Canis lupus familiaris: one gene and its partners. The protein of the gene in region 2 purifies or fractionates together with the protein of the main gene of each other region. This does not show direct contact. Links are inferred from orthologs where the notes say so. Each region holds a gene or a part of one and is shown on either strand. Other genes may lie near its edges.

What was found.
Region 1: the proteins of PAK1 (region 2) and GIT1 purify together in Homo sapiens (affinity purification with mass spectrometry; 6 studies listed by BioGRID and IntAct, with this or other methods). This does not show direct contact. The link is inferred for Canis lupus familiaris from reciprocal best matches to the Homo sapiens genes PAK1 and GIT1.
Region 3: the proteins of PAK1 (region 2) and GIT2 purify together in Homo sapiens (affinity purification with mass spectrometry; 5 studies listed by BioGRID and IntAct, with this or other methods). This does not show direct contact. The link is inferred for Canis lupus familiaris from reciprocal best matches to the Homo sapiens genes PAK1 and GIT2.
Region 4: the proteins of PAK1 (region 2) and NCK1 purify together in Homo sapiens (affinity purification with western blotting; 8 studies listed by BioGRID and IntAct, with this or other methods). This does not show direct contact. The link is inferred for Canis lupus familiaris from reciprocal best matches to the Homo sapiens genes PAK1 and NCK1.

What each region holds. Positions count from the first base shown.
Region 1 is NC_049230.1:43,661,719-43,665,929, forward strand, and holds the start of GIT1 (ARF GTPase-activating protein GIT1), read right to left. Parts: upstream 2,821-4,211; 5' UTR 2,776-2,820; coding exon 2,724-2,775; coding exon of another isoform or gene 2,560-2,723; exon of another isoform or gene 2,238-2,559; intron 1,871-2,237; exon of another isoform or gene 1,793-1,870; coding exon of another isoform or gene 1,741-1,792; intron 1-1,740. Other genes in the region: uncharacterized protein LOC119876655, read left to right, coding at 2,560-2,750, 3,345-3,603. UniProt on the Homo sapiens protein: GTPase-activating protein for ADP ribosylation factor family members, including ARF1.
Region 2 is NC_049242.1:21,495,634-21,499,196, reverse strand, and holds part of PAK1 (serine/threonine-protein kinase PAK 1), read right to left. Parts: intron 3,054-3,563; coding exon 2,879-3,053; intron 614-2,878; coding exon 550-613; intron 1-549. UniProt on the Homo sapiens protein: Protein kinase involved in intracellular signaling pathways downstream of integrins and receptor-type kinases that plays an important role in cytoskeleton dynamics, in cell adhesion, migration, proliferation, apoptosis, mitosis, and in vesicle-mediated transport processes.
Region 3 is NC_049247.1:17,528,847-17,532,409, reverse strand, and holds part of GIT2 (ARF GTPase-activating protein GIT2), read right to left. Parts: intron 3,071-3,563; coding exon 2,965-3,070; intron 1,058-2,964; coding exon 971-1,057; intron 854-970; coding exon 723-853; intron 1-722. UniProt on the Homo sapiens protein: GTPase-activating protein for ADP ribosylation factor family members, including ARF1.
Region 4 is NC_049244.1:33,892,825-33,897,115, forward strand, and holds the end of NCK1 (cytoplasmic protein NCK1), read left to right. Parts: intron 1-1,905; coding exon 1,906-2,100; 3' UTR 2,101-3,769; downstream 3,770-4,291. UniProt on the Homo sapiens protein: Adapter protein which associates with tyrosine-phosphorylated growth factor receptors, such as KDR and PDGFRB, or their cellular substrates. Maintains low levels of EIF2S1 phosphorylation by promoting its dephosphorylation by PP1.

The DNA of each region.
Region 1 (4,211 bases), on a different chromosome or scaffold from region 2:
CTACCTTGCTGATTCTGTCCTATGTCCCTTTGGCTGAGAATGAGAACCACAGACTTGAAGATGGGATGGTCTTCAAAAACCATTTCTACTCCCAATTTCTTTGCTTCACAATTGAGAAAACTGAGGAAGAGCCCTGCCATGGGTCACAGAGTAAGCTGACAGAAGCACCCTCCCCCCAGTCCTTCTGGACCTTCCACCCTCACCCCTATGCTATGCCCGCCTTGCAGAGGTTTACACAACAGTCTGGGACACCCACAGAAGGCAAGCTCTCCTCCTCTTGGCCCTTCCATCCTCAGACCTGCATGCGGCTAGAAGAAGATCACCGTTTCCAGCTCATTAGGATAAGGATATGTAAGCCCAGATAGCTTCTTGAAGGCCCTCTAGATCATGACACGCCCTGAGAGAAGTCCCAGGGTCGCAACCACCCACGGAGTACCATGCCTCTGCCAGGCATCCACAGTCACCAAACACTTGAGCTTGGAGCCATCGGAACCACTGGAGTATCTGTGGTTCTCAACCTGTTGGGGTCTTAGGCCTGTCCTAAGGGTGGCTCAAAGTTATGGGTGCATGGAACAGCACCTCACACTCTCATGTTTAATTATGCCCACAGTCCCCCTGGAATTCAGAGACACCCTGAGCCTGCCCAGAGGTCTCCTAGGGAGTTAGCTTCTTTATTTTAAGGAGAGGATGGACAAAAGCCACGGCTTCCTTCCCCAGGCCAACTGCTGAGCCCCATCACTGGCACGGTCCTCCCACATCAGAAGGTAGCAGCCACTCAGGTCACCACTCCTCACTTCCTCAGCTGGTCAGGGGGGTTTCACATCAGCCTGGACCTGACTGTGCCGGGGAGAAGGAAAACACCAGGGTAAATACAGCCAGGAGGCTGGCCAGGAAGCCAGCGATATCCTGGGTACTACTGCTCCTTCCCCACTTCTGGCCAGACTGGGCTACACAGGGCTAGGAGGGGTCTGTGCCCAAGCTGGGACAATGCTAAGCCCACCTGACGGGGTTAAGCAGACCTTACTGGGGCATAAGAATAGCTGAGTCTAGTGGCTCCCAGGCACCAGGCAGCCTGGGGATGCCTGAGAGAAAGATGCCCAGGCTGTACTGGCCCTCAACACCAGGCCCTGCAAGTAGCCCCGGCCTTGGGAACCAGGGGCAGGCAGTCCTCGGAGTAGCTACCGCCTCTCCACCCCCCCCCCGCCCCCATCTGCTCCCAAAGAAACACTACCCCAGCCTCCCCTGGCCCATCTGCCCAGCTTTCTGCCCCTTGACCTCCGCCACCTCAGCGGGCGCCCAGACCATGCGAGCAGCAGGTGCAAGACGCGGGGGTGGCACCGAGCTGACACGAAACCCCACTCGCCCCCACCTCCTGAACCTTGCGGGCCTCCGCCACAGCCCTCCTGCCACCCCAGGCTGGCGCTTCCGTCGGGAGGTAGAGATGGGGGCGGGGGGCAGCCAGCCGCCTGCCTCCCTCAGACTCCGGGGTGGCGCCGGCAATGTCCTTCCCCGCCCGTCCGCGGACGCGAGGGCACCGGGGCCCCCCAGCCGGCCCTCCCGCCAAGGACGCGGCTCCGCAGTGGCCCGGGCGGGGGCCGAGGCCGCAGCCCCCAGCCCCGCGCCCCGCCCTCCGGCCCCGCACGGCGCTCTCGCCAGGCCCGGCGCCCGCCCGGCGGCCTCGCAGCGCGGTCGCGGTCGCAGTCGCGGTCGCGGTCCCGCCCCCGGCCCGGCCTTGCTCACCCGGGGCGCTGCAGTCCGCACACACCTCCGCCCGCGGCCCCTTCCGGGACATCCTCAGCGGCGACGCGGCCGCAGCCCTCTGGGCCAGCGTGGGGGGCGCGGGCGGCGGGCCCGGGCGGCGGCTGCCTCTGCTGCCCGGCCCGGCTCCGGCAAGGCCCCGGCTAGGCTCCGCGCGCCCGGCCAACCGTCCGCCCCCGGGGCTGGCCCGGAACCCGCCGTGCCCGCCTGCCCGCTCGCCCTCCGGCGCCCTCCGCCCCGCGCCGCCCCGCGCCGCCCTGCCGCCGCTCGCTCTCTCCGCCCCCTGCGCGGCTCCGGGCCGCTCCTGCAGGAAGCGGCGCAGGCCCTGCCCACCGGGGGAGGGGCAGCCCGCAACCCGCCCCGCCGCCGGGCCCTGCGGGCCGCGCCTCCCGGAGAAAGGAAGCCGGGAGCGCGGGCGGGAGGGGGCGGGGGTGCTTAAAGGGGCCGCGGCCGCCGCGCTGCAGGCCCTAGAGGGCAGCGTCGCCTGCGCGCCGGGCCTCGCCTCCCTCGCTCTCCGGCCCCGCGGCTGTGTGAGTTCCCCGCGCAGCCCTCTCCTCTTCGCTTTCCAGGTGGAGGGTAGCCCGAGGGGCTCAGGCCCGGGGACGGTGACCCTTGGGGGACCCGGGAAGAGAGGAAGGAGCTAGAGGCCCAGGCCCCCTTCCTCGTCAGAGCGCTGTGGTTTGGGGTGCCCGCCTCTGTGTGGCTGAGGCGAGGTGTGCGACCTGGCCCCCCATATATCCACATCTGTGTGTCCAGGTGTGTGTGGTCACACCCTTGCTGCTTACGCACAAAGCCAACAATATGGACGCCCAGGTGTACCCCTGCCTCCCAGCTAAAAATACATCTATACCTCATCCATGCTGCCGTCCCGAGAGGAAAGAATCTGGGCAGTTTTTAAAGGCCTCCCGAGGGGTGACCACTGTGCCTGTGGGCAGTAATATCCACTCTGCATTCGTCTTGTATACCTCCACGGTGTTTCTGGGCCACTGCAGGTTTGTGTGTCCAGGGCGTGTGCATATAACATACAGGGACCTTTTCTTATGGTGGCCTTTCTTCCTAGACTTCACACGGAGACGGCAATGGGGGGGGGGGGGGACAGGAAGCGGAGGCGCAGGCGGCACGTGGGTGCACCCCTGCACTGAGCATGCTCCCCCATACACGTGTGCCCCGCGTGCACCCAGCCCCCATCCCTGCAGCAGCAAAATGCCAGAGCGCTTTGCTTCTGGGGCCAGGGCCCGGGTGGCCAGGACCAGGCCTGGGGGCCAGGTCAGTGGTGACCGGAATTAAGGGAAGATTCCCAAGGGGCAGGGAGCCCTTCTCAGTAACAAGGGGGAGAAGGGGAGTCCTTGGGCAGGGGTTTGGGAGTTGGTCGATTTTATCCCAGCGGTGCCAGAACAGCAGTGGCTTGTGGGTGGGCAGGCTGCTTCCCTGGGGGAGACAAGTAATGCTCATGAGTCACACCACCCGAAATACAAGCAAAGCTGCCTCTATCGCCTTTTGCTGCAGCCCAGATTGACAAGTTTGTTTGAAATCGCGATCCACGGGGTATATTTATAATCGCACCTTTAAGAAAAATCTTTTTGCAGGCCTCTCCTCCCCCCACAGCCAGCCGCTCAGCTGGCGGGGCTTCTGCAAGCGAAGGTACCTCGCGGTGGGGGAGCACCACCTGCCGCACGGTGCCGCACCCACACCGAGAAGCCAGTCTGTGGGCTTGGTAGCCCCAGGCTGGACGACGTAATGGAGCGGCCTGGCCGCTCTTCCCGGCGCCCCCCACCCCCACCCCCAGGAGCGGTGGCCGCCCATTCACCCCCGATCGACCCACAGCTATGGAATTTCATTTATTAAATGTCGAGGCGGCTACTGGCAGCTCCATCGCTTGGCTGTCTTTGTTTCTCTGCTGTGTGGGCGCGTCTCGAGCACGTGGCAGCTGGAGGGCGCAGACCCGAGGAAAGGCGACCTGGGTTTGGTCTAGGGCCGCCTGGCAAAGAGACCCGGCTGCTAAGGGCATAGGTCCCCCAATCCTGGCCGAGCTCCCCGTCTCCCAGAACTCCCAACACTTTTCAGGGGAAGAATGATTCACCCCGTCGCCCCCTCCCGCCCGCCAGCTCTACCTCCGGGCTGGCCCGGGGACTACCTGGGAGTGGCCCAGGCAAGAAGCCACACTCTAAACTTTGTTCCGGAAGACCCCAGCCCCGCCACTGCGGAGCTTCTGGGCCCGAGACTAGGGATAAAAGGGTTCCAGGATCTCCCTCTGGAGACGTCTCCACCTCAGGAAGCAAGACAGTAGAAAAAGAAATATGAGACAAGGTTCTATAAACAATTTAATGAGGAAACAAACGTACAGGCATTCTTCTGGCCACTCCTAGCCGTCCCTCCCCCGCCCCAGCCCCTTCCCCAACTCCGGCTGCAGCCACAACACTCTGCTGACCCCTCGTGGTGGAGGTGGGCAGCGG
Region 2 (3,563 bases):
GAGTTTGTGTCAGATCCATAGCTGTATTCATAGTGCCTAGCACATAAACAGGAACTCAGTTAAGATCTGGTGAGTTCAGTACACTGAGGGCAGCATGCAAGATACAGAGAAGAAATCAGAGAGCAGGAGACATGAATCCTGGCATGCACCTAGAATGACAGGTCCCATTACATTAGCAGAAGGGGTCTGCAGTTCTGAGTCTTCCATTTCACATTAGTGCTGGTAGGTCTCAGTGCCAGGTAAAAAGGGTTAATCTGAAAAAGCAGAGCTGTAATTTGGGAAGCAGGTTTTGTGCTAAGAAGATAAATGCTTTTTGCACTCTCACTGAAGGGTTATTTTTAGCAACATGGTCAGCTAATGGCACGTCTCTCATACTAAGCATAATTTTGCCAAACCTGAAGTCAGCCTAACATAACACCTCCAGATGGGTGAGAGATGAGGTAGAGAAAGAACGAAGTTTATGAGAGGCAAAACAAAAGCAAAATCATATACACCAGCATACCCAATTTTTAAGTAATTTCCCTAGGGAAAGAAAATGCCCCTACTAACCCTTGTCCAATCTTCTCAAACCGTGTATATTTCTTCTTAGGATCGCCCACACTCACTATGCTCCCTTTGAAAGAAACAGAGACCATGAATCATTTTTTTTTCCCAGATCAAGATACAAAACAGGCCCAATATTCCCCCAAACCCTGCAGCTGACAAGGATTAAAGAACTACCTCCAATTCCCAAAGCCACGCTAAGCAGGTCCTTAGCTTTTAGTTTTAAGTTGCAACCAAAAGTTTCATCTCCTTACTGCTTTTATTGACTGTATTTTTAAATTCATTCATTCAATAAACACTCACTTAATATGCTCACATATCATGTACCAAGCCCAATGTTGAATACTAAGAATAAAGGGATAGATGAGACATAGTTAAAACAGTCCCTGCTCTCAAGAAGCTCAATCTCAGGGAGGAGACAGAAAATTAAGCTTAAAGTTCCATGAAAATACAATTGTTGTAATACAGAAAGAGCCTTTCCCGACTAGAGAGGCTTCAGAAAGGAAGTGATTCTGGACGATTTTTATAGGGTAAGTAGGAGTTAGCCAAGGAAAGTTGAGAAGGGGTTACAGTAGGCAGTAATTCAAGTGCAAAGGCATAGAGGTGTGAGAGAGGTTAGGTTTCACAACTTGTACTCTAGAGATGGTGAAACTGAGGCCCACAGAAGGGAACATAATCCCCCCCACCCCAAAGGTCACACAGCAAACTGGTGTCAGGGCCTTATAAGATTAGGAGCTTGGTTTTTGGTCTCCCAGTCCAGTGTGTCCTCCCTAACACTAATTACTAAGATTTGATACTTTTCACATATACTATCTCATATGATTATAAATAAGAAAGGTATTAACATCCCTCTTTAAAAGATGAAAAAAAGGAAGCCCAGAGAACAGTAGGAAATTGCCCAAGACCCATGTCAGTGGCTGGACTGGGGCTTTAACCCAAGTGCCCTTACCTCTCATGCCAGTCTGCTTTTCACAATTTTATGTTCTAAGTATGACTGCTTTAAAATAAATCTGGTTCAGATAAAAACACTATATATAGGAATAAACAGATGGCTAGGTAAGTGGCTTTTCTTGCTTCATCATTTCGTAAGGGCTCTGGGCAAGGGCAACTTGTAAAAGAGTGAAATTAAAAAAAAAAGTCGGGCAGCCCCAGTGGCTTAGCGGTTTAGCGCCACCTTCAGCCTGGGGTGTGATCCTGGAGACTCGGGATCGAGTCCCACATTGGGCTCTGGGCATGGAGCCTGCTTCTTCCTCTGCCTGTGTCTCTGCCTTTCTCTCTCTCTCTCTCTCTCATGAATAAATAAATAAAATCTTTAAAAAAAAATAAAAGTCAAACAAGAATTATCAGGAAGACATTGAGAGCTGCTAAGCTAAAGAATCAGAAACCTAGGCTTTAGAGAGGAGCGCTAGTTTGTGGATTTGGCCAAATTAGTCACATCAAATCCTCTTTAGAAGTAAACAGGTACAAAGGATAAATTAAAGGCTGCATCAGATGATTTTTCTAAGCCCAAAGGTCAATCTAGTCCTTCCTTCTAGTATGAATTCTCTTGCAATTTACTGAAACACAGAAACAACCTACTCTAATATACATACCCCATTTCTGGCCACTAAAGAAAATAAAATGGAAGTTTCCACTTGAAAGCAAGAGGCAGCATGCTCTAATTACAACAGCATAACTTGGTCTCTGACCCCAGCCCTGTCACTGTCTTGGGTAGGGTATTTAGCATCCCTGAGCCTCAAATACATTAAACTGCAAAAAATGAGGATTATAATGTCTGTCTTCACAGGGTTAATATGAGGAATAAAGGAACCAAAAAAAAAAAAAAATCAAGAAAACACCTTGCTTGTCATTTGGTACCTAGATAGGCTCACAAAATGTTAGTTTTCCTTCCCTCTTTTCCTACAACCAAGATGGCAGAGCAGTCTTCTCCTAAGTCAATGGCAAGCATCAATAATCACAGCAATCTTTCCTACCAGGTATGGGTAAGGCCTCAGTCTTTCTCAACACAACATTCCACACTATTCCATTAGATAAAAGCTACTTTTCATCTCCATAACCGATGCCTACGGTTGAGAGATGCCTAGCTCGAAGTGAGCTGTCCACACTCCCCTCACATTTCTATCCTAACACAATATCCAATCAGGGTTGCTGAGACAGAGGAGGTAGGTGCAGGGGCAAGGTGAGAAGCCTACCTTATGTGGCTAAGATATCGAGCATAGCCAGCCAGCCACATAGACCAAGTCTAGGACTAGGATCCTTTTAGCAATGTTTTTCCATCTTTGTGCTCATTCAGTCACACACAAAACGCAAGTTCAGACAGCTACAAAGTGCTTACGTAATTTCTCCAAGATCTCCTCATCAGACATTTTGGGCTTCTTCTTCTGCTTCTCAGTATTCCGAGTCAGAGCATCTGGTGGAGTAGTATTATTCTCAGTAGGTGAAATAGGAGATGTAGCCGCATCCCGAGTTGGAGTAACAGGAAGTGGTTCAATCACAGACCGTGTATATACCTGTATTGTTGGTAAAAGAATTTGGTAAAGACAGTCTTTGTTAGCACAGAAAACACTCAGGAGCCTCTTATAGAGGTGTATTAGAACACCCACAGCAGAGCAAATCCCAATAAACTCATCTCTCCTCCTAGGTCAAAATCTATGTTCCTCCCCTCTGTGCCCAGGCCTATCCCATGTGGGTGAAATGGCCTTCCTTGTTCTCACTATACACAACACAAATTAGGAATTAACAATGTCTTTTTAGAAAGGAGTGCTATGAAGATCAAATTTATTAATTCATTTGTTCATTATTTACTGCCTTTCTGACACCTGCCCAGAACTATGTTAAGCATTATTAATACATATATATTTCCTCTGTTTTTGAGAAGTTCCTAGTTTAGTGAGAATTTTTTTTTTTTTAAACATTTTTATTTATTTATGATAGTCACAGAGAGAGAGAGAGGCAGACACACAGGCAGAGGGAGAAGCAGGCTCCACGCACCAAGAGCCTGACGTGGGATTCGATCCCGG
Region 3 (3,563 bases), on a different chromosome or scaffold from region 2:
TCTTGCCTCCTTTAACTCTTTCATGTATTTATGAATCATCTCCTCCATGAGATAATAAATTCTGGGAAGGCACAATTTTGGCATTTCACCCATTTTATCCTCTGCAGAACAGTAGAATGCTTTGCAGTTGATAAAAAATTAATTTGGAAAAAGAAAGATGAGCCATCTTCTACCATTTAAATGATATTCAAGGCTAACATGGATTTTTTTATTTTTCCAGCATTTCACAAAGTTTTTAAAACAAGAAGAAACTTAAGGAATTTTATTGCAAGCACCCAGACATCTGCTACCTAAAACCTATAATTAACATTTTACTATTACTTGTTTAATCGCCTACCTATCTATATAGCTCTGTTTTTTAAGTTCAAGCAATGACTAAACATATTAAGAAACTGAGGAGTGGGTTTTGCAATTCTTGATACTTGCTTTGGACTATGGCTCAAATACCATTGCATTAGAAGTCATTTGAAAGACTGGAAGCTAAGCACACTGGAAGCTAAGCACATTAGCTAAGCTAATGGTTCTATCTCCTCCAACTCTGCCAGGCTCTGAGCTCTTATGTATTTGAAATGCTTTCATCTGTAAAATAATGGGAGATGTATATCCTTAACTTAAAGGGGTTAAATGTTAATCATACACAATTTAGCCACCAACAATGAATAATACCCAACATAAATAATCCCTAACCAAAGATGCAGTGACAAGAAATCTAGGTCTCTCACCTTGCATAATCCACAGGAGTTTTTCCACTAGAATCCTGTGTGCCTGGGTCTGCTCCATATACTGCCAATAATTCTGCCTGTAAAATCTGCCCTGCTTTGGAGGCAACGTGGAGTGGGGTGTTTCCTTTTTCCTGAGAAATATTAATAAAAAGTAGATTAACAAGCAAATTAAATAAAACTAAAGGCTACAACAAACACAACCCACTTAGTTTCAATTTAGTATCTGAATCAATTCATGCTTTTCTCACAGGGTGAAAGAAGTTGGCTTGTGCTCCTAAAGATAACAGCCTCAAACAGGTTTCAAGATTCCCTGTTCTCACGCTTGAATGAAGTTGCTGAAAAACACACAAATCAAAAAAGTATTTGTTAAAAGTGTAAAGAATGGTATACTATAGCAGCTGGCAGATCATTTTAATATACATTATATTAGTGATAATCAGTTATTTAGCTCAGTAAGCCTCTCCCTTGCTGGTCACAACCACTCCAGAGCTCTAAGGTGGGGCCAGGTCCATTTTACTGATAAGGAAATAAGGATGGGAAGGCTGATTTGCCCAAATGCACAATCTAAGTGGTACAATCAGACCTGAAGTGAAAGGGGGTATGAGAAGATAGGTGAACACAGCTCTGAAGTCTCAAAGACCTGAAGTTAAAACCATATACCCTTCAAGTTGTGTGACCTTGTGGAAGTTCTTTAAACAATCTGAACCTTAGTTTTCTCAGCTCTAAAATGGTGAAAACAATGCCACTTATTCAAGGATTACTGTAAGGAGTCAATGATATAACAAAATGCTCAGCATGGAGCCTGGTATACAGGAAACACTCAAAGAATACAACTGCTGTTATTATAATCATTATTATTTGTTGTTGTTATTTAACCTAGGGCTTTAGGGCTGCGTACCCCATGCTGTAAACTACTGGATTCTGCTTTATAGCACACCCTCTTCATAACAACATTCTTGGCCTTGTATATAATACTTTAACAAAATCTTTCAGGCTGGGAAATAGGCCTGGTGTATACCAAATTCTGTACCACTGCAGAAAAGCTCTTAAACATGCAGAAGATTAGCTGCTTTTTTCAAGTCTAACCTAGAATTGTCTAAAATGCAATAACCCTTATTATAAAAATGCAGAAGTCTACTCCAGCATCTATATCCACACCTTATTTTTACAATTAATGTATTTAATATTCTTAAGTTGTGGTAAAAACCCCATGCCAAGCTTATTAACGGAAGTAACAGTTATATATGTTTTCTATGCAAAGTTTAAAATTCCTTTTTTTTTTTTTGCAAAGTTTAAAATTCTGATTGCAAGTGTCCAAGCTCTGTGCGAACATTTCCTAAAAGCAGTGCTTTGAAAATAAAAATGCATGTTTCTCATGGCATCTCTCAAAATCATGCAAAGGCCCACATAAAGAAAACCATCTACTCATTTTACAAGTATAATAAAGAATCATAAGCACTACAGCTTTCAGTCATCCTGCTTCCTGAAGATCCTACTCAGTATGCAACCCAGAAACCTAAAGAGGTCCCTCGAACTTTCTAGTCCCTTCTAGAAACAAACTCAAGGGATGGTTCCTATTTTAAAGTTAAATGAAAAACTTTTAGGGATACAATTTTAGGGGTGTCTGGGTGGCTCAGTTGGTTAAGCGTCTGTCTTCGGCTCAGGTCATGATCCCAGGGTCCTGGGATCAATTCAGTGGGGAGTCTGCTTCTCCCTCTCCCTCTCTCTCTGCCCCTCCACCTGCTCGTGCTCACCTTCCCTCTCTTTTTTAAAAAAGATTTTAATTATTTGAGATAAAGATTTTATTTATTTATTTGAGAGACAGAGAGATAGTGAAAGAGAGAACATGAGCAGTCGGGAGAGGGAGAAGCAGGTTCCCTGCGGGGTTCAATCAGAGGATCCTGGGGGCCATATCCTGAATTGAAGGTAGGTGCTCAACCAACTGAGCCACCCAGGTGCCTCAAGAAATATAATTTCAAAACCATTTCTGAAAAACATAAATAATTTTCTAGATACATACTTATTTTTCCTTGTACCTCCTTGTACCTCCACTAACATAGAATGGCTGCCATTTGAACTAAAATTAAAGATGTAACCAACTGCAAAAAAGGTTGTTATTAATTATTTAGAGTACAGAAAGTTTCTGTTTTGTTTTTCTTTTCTTCCTCTTTAAGTTTTTTTCAAACAAAACAATATATCATTTGATCCAGCAGTTTTAGGGATTTTAAAAAGTGTGACCCACCTTGCTAAGATCTTTGGCAGTCATACTGTCATCATCCCGGCAAGGCAAGCGATGGACAAATGCTAACATCTGATATTTGGCTCTGATGAATTCTGCTTTATTAGGACTGATTACCACCCAGAAAAAAAAGAAAGAAAGAAAGCTGCTTACTTGCAGTTCAGATGCAACATTTCCCATTCTTTAGGCCGTAAAAAGAAAAGGAAGTGACCCATATCCCCTACTAGAGAAGAAAATGAATGACACTGAAATAAGTTCCAGCAGGAGTTTAAGACCTGAAGTCTCAAAACATCAATTAGTCATTCTAAAGGCCAGGACTGCAGAATACTTGCTTTTTAGAGCTTCTCTCTTTGTAATTTTCTTAACTGACCTACAGCCTTGTGAGGAAGCAGCATTGTATCCCATCCTATAGGTGAGGCATCAGGCAGACCAGAGCCCAGAATGGAGATTTTTGGTCTGATTGCCTCTTGTTTGAGCACCTAAGCTTAAATCAGATTACATTAACAGTCTCTGAGCATTAGTGTCAAACTGGAGAAGCCACTGACTTGTGCTGTACAACCATGCAAAAGAGATGGTCCTGTGCCTGGCCTTGTTCTGCATTC
Region 4 (4,291 bases), on a different chromosome or scaffold from region 2:
TTTTTGAAATGTATTTGCAATAAAAGATATTTTTTCTAATATTAGTAAAACTATGAAACCATAAAAATGGAATAATAGTTATGTAGGCTCTTTTGATTACTGTTTAGAATATTAGAATTTGGTCCTATTCATTTAACTGGTCTTTATTTTTCCTTTTAAAAGGATACCACTACTTTTCCAGTTTTCAGATCATTAGTATTGGCTTTGTTTCTGTGTATGTAGTTCTATAAATGTGAATGTGTGATTGTAGAAAAGATTTAAAGTCAGAAGAAAACTTATCTGGTGTGTGTATGTGCACTTGCGTATAGCGTGTATATGTTTATAAAAGGGAGGGAAGAAAAGAGAGGTAATTGAACTGCTTGATATGAAGTTCAGGAAATGAGGCCTGTACATAACCCCTCAGGAAGAGCAGGATCAATGATAGGGAACAGTGGTGGGATTTGTTTTCTGTTAGATGCCTGACTTGATCTATCTTTCTAGGACAAGCAGTGAGCAAGAAGCATTAGGAAATGAGTGACCTTAGAGCAGGTGATAAGAGTAACCATAGGTATAGGATGTTTCCAAGAAGCCCACTATTTGAAACTTTGTCAGTAACTATATAAAACTTTTAGACTGTTCAGAAAAGTGTTTAGGTTAAAAAAAACAACAAAAAGTAAGAAAGTAGCTTGGTTACAAAACACTGTTTTCTTGGTGGGTAATTGAGCATGGATATTAGCCAACATGCACCATCATTTTTAGCAGTAGGATTTTTTTTTTTAAGATTTTATTTATTCATGAGAAACAGAGAATGGCAGACATTGGCAGAAGGAGAAACAGGCTCCCTGCGGGGAGCCCAATGCAGGACTCAGTCCTGAGACCCCAGGATCAGGCCCTGAGCTGAAGGGATGCTCAACCACTGAGCCACCCAAGCATCCCTAGAATTTTTAAAGTAAAGATTTCAAACAGGATATTTTGTTTGACATGAACAATGTTTTTTAAACATTTGAATTTGTTACCAGTATTTAAATATTGGGAAATTTACTATAAAAAGTCAGGTGACAGACTTCCTTTTAAAATTGGAAGACCTGGGCAGCCCCGGGGTGCAGCGGTTTAGCGCCGCCTGCAGCACGGGGTGTGATCCTGGAGACCCGGGATCCAGTCCCGTGTCAGGCTTCCTGCATGGAGCCTGCTTCTCCCTCTGCCTGTGTCTCTACTATCTCTCTCCCCCCCCCTCCCTCCCTCCCCCTGAATGAATGAATGAATGAATGAATAAATAAATCTTTTTTTTAAATAAATAAATAAAAATAAAATTGGAAGGCCTGCCAACCTTGCCTGTATTTCTACAAGACAACAATCACCACTAAGTGGCCACTTTCTTTAAATTGGCCATGCACTGTTCCTTCTCTCTGTCCACCCTGTCATTTGTTTATATGTCTTTTGACCCTTGTAGGCATTTGAGTTTATGACCTCTCATTAGTGTCTATTGTCTTTAAGAATTCAGCCGAATATCTGAGCTAGTCTATGAGATAGCTACTGTTAGCTCACATTAACTCATGTTTTCTCATGTGTTTCTCCAGTTGTCTGAAGGAGAGAAGATAGCTCTTGTGCTTCAGATGTTAAACTAAAGGATTTGCCATGGGTGTTAGAGCATATTATTTAAGAGACTTTGGAGTCTGGCTGCTTGGGTTTGCATCCTGGCTGTCTTGTTAACTACATGGATGATTTTGAGCAACTTAGCTTTTCTTGGCCTTGATTTTGTCATCTCTAAAAAGGGTTGGTTAGAGGTGTAAAGGAGATAATCTATGTAAATAGCATAGTGCCTAGTACTTAGCTAAGATTTGAGCACTTTATTATTATTAGTGTAATATAAAAATGCTAATAGATATCTTTCAAAATGTTTACCCTATGTATTTTTTTCTCTTTTAGCCAAATGATTTCTCTGTATCACTAAAAGCACAAGGGAAAAACAAGCATTTTAAAGTCCAACTAAAAGAGACTGTCTACTGCATTGGGCAGCGTAAATTCAGCACCATGGAAGAACTTGTAGAACATTACAAAAAGGCACCAATTTTTACAAGTGAACAAGGAGAAAAACTGTATCTTATCAAGCATTTGTCATGATAATGCTGACCAGAAGTGACTGCTATAAAGCTATAACTCATCATGTAATTGAAGACTGAGAAAATGTCAATCCAATCATATTTGATTGGAAATTGATTTCTGACTCTACATGAGAATTGAGTGTGATACATAAGTATTTTTATTATAACTCAGCCCATACATATATACTACATATGCAAAGCATCTGCATAAAGCAGTTCCTTATCCTTGGTCTTCTGTTTTATTGTTTCTTGTCTGTTTTTCTCTTTGCTTCTAATATTAAGGTTTTATATTTTCTAAAGATGATGCAGATCGAAAGTCTTTACATGGAAGAATTTATTGGTTTTTTTCTTTATTTCCTTGTAAGGGCACCATATTTAGGTCACTTCTGCAATGGTTTCTCTTCATATAAAATTATTATATCAGTATATGGCATATGCTAAAATAAATTTCTTGGACAATGTTCTTTTCTGTGACTAAATAGCAATAATAAATGGATAATTAGAAATTATTTTCAGGTATTTGTTGCAAGCCATTGTAAATATCAAGTATGTTGTGTCTGCCATTTTTAAAAAATATTCATTGTCTTCATTGTAAAGCAAAACAAATGGGACATAGGTTTGAAAACGTATCTTGTACACTTTTAATTTGCAACTGTTGGAAACAAAAATCTAAACTTCTAGGACTTTTTTGTGGGGTTGCTTCTTACCTGGTTATTTAAGAGAATAAAGCAGTCTCTGAGATATTTAGCTTTTTAAACTATAAATGGATGCCCTAGTGTTATGTTTTTTTTTTTCCCCTAGTGTTATTTTGACAAAGCATCTTGTATTGGGGCATGTTGTATCTGTGTCAGTGTGAAAAAAGCTGCAGCCAAATGTTGGGGAAGTAGGAGGCAGTGAGATACTTGTCTCCCCTCCCCAAACATGTCTATCAGTATTAGGTATAGTATTTCTGCTATTTTCTTTTCCTCCTTTCAGCTTTGAGTTTTGTTGACTGAGACACTAAAATTGATCATACCTGAGGAAAAGATGGGATGTGCCAAATGGTTAGAGAAGGTTATTTTTGAAATCTTACTTTTGGAGAGTTTCTATTGTTTTTGTTTACTAAACAGAAGCTTGGGTGTATGAATGAGAGGCTACTATAGAGTATTGAATCTACTTCTGCAGGTCACAGAAGAAAACAGCTGTATTTTGTGGTCTTAGCTATCCTCTCCGACATAATTTGTTCTGGAATTTAAATTTAAGCAAAATTACTTTCAGTATTAGGAAATCTTATGGTATTTTTAAAAATTTCCCCAGTGCGGCCTAAGCAAATGAATGTTTCTATTCTTTAATGTGTTATAGATAAGTATTTAATACACCAAAATTACTGATGTTAAAATTGAAATTGTCTAATTCCTGAGGTTTTTGGATTATTTTTTTTAATTATTTTAAGTAATTTTTATTCTTTAACTCTTAAAATCATTTGAAGACTTACATTGCCACTGGGTGGCAGCCCTGGCTTCTCCCACTAAGCAATAGGAGTCAGCAAATACAATTAAAGCATTGATGTACAATTTTTTATTTTCACCACATCTACTTTTAAAGCCTTTTAGTTCATATTTCATTATCTTTGTCAGTCTCTCTTTGTTTATTGAGATGATTATTAGTAGACAATTGTAATAGAAATAAAAGTCATGTGCTTACCTGTTTTTGCTGTAAAATCACTTGAATATAAGTTGAAGAAAATAGTTTCAAAGTGTTATAAATATGATTAGGTAGTAAACACCTTTTTATTTGATTTTAAACAGCTGATGATGCTTTCTTTTTCTCCATTTTTTGTTTTTCCCCCCAGTCTTCTTTTTAAAAAGATATTTCTTAAAAAAAAAAAAGAAGCAATTAATACTTTGTAATCACAATGTAATTGATGCATTAATCATGTATCACATGAGCTATATTTATAGCAAACCCCACTGAACTTATGTTAAGGATTTTAAGAAAGCAGCTAGGAATGGAGAAGACTGGAAGTAGATTGCACATTCTCTGACATAATTAGATTTATAATAACTAGAGAGTTCCCAGATAGGCCACATGACCTGCACCTGCATATAACAAGCACTGCATATACTCATCTTCCACAAGGCAAAAGACTTGGGTATCTGATTGTTCAACAAAACAAAGCTTGAACAGCATCCAGGAGGTGAGGCAGGCAAACCAGGCTGTAGAACTCTTCC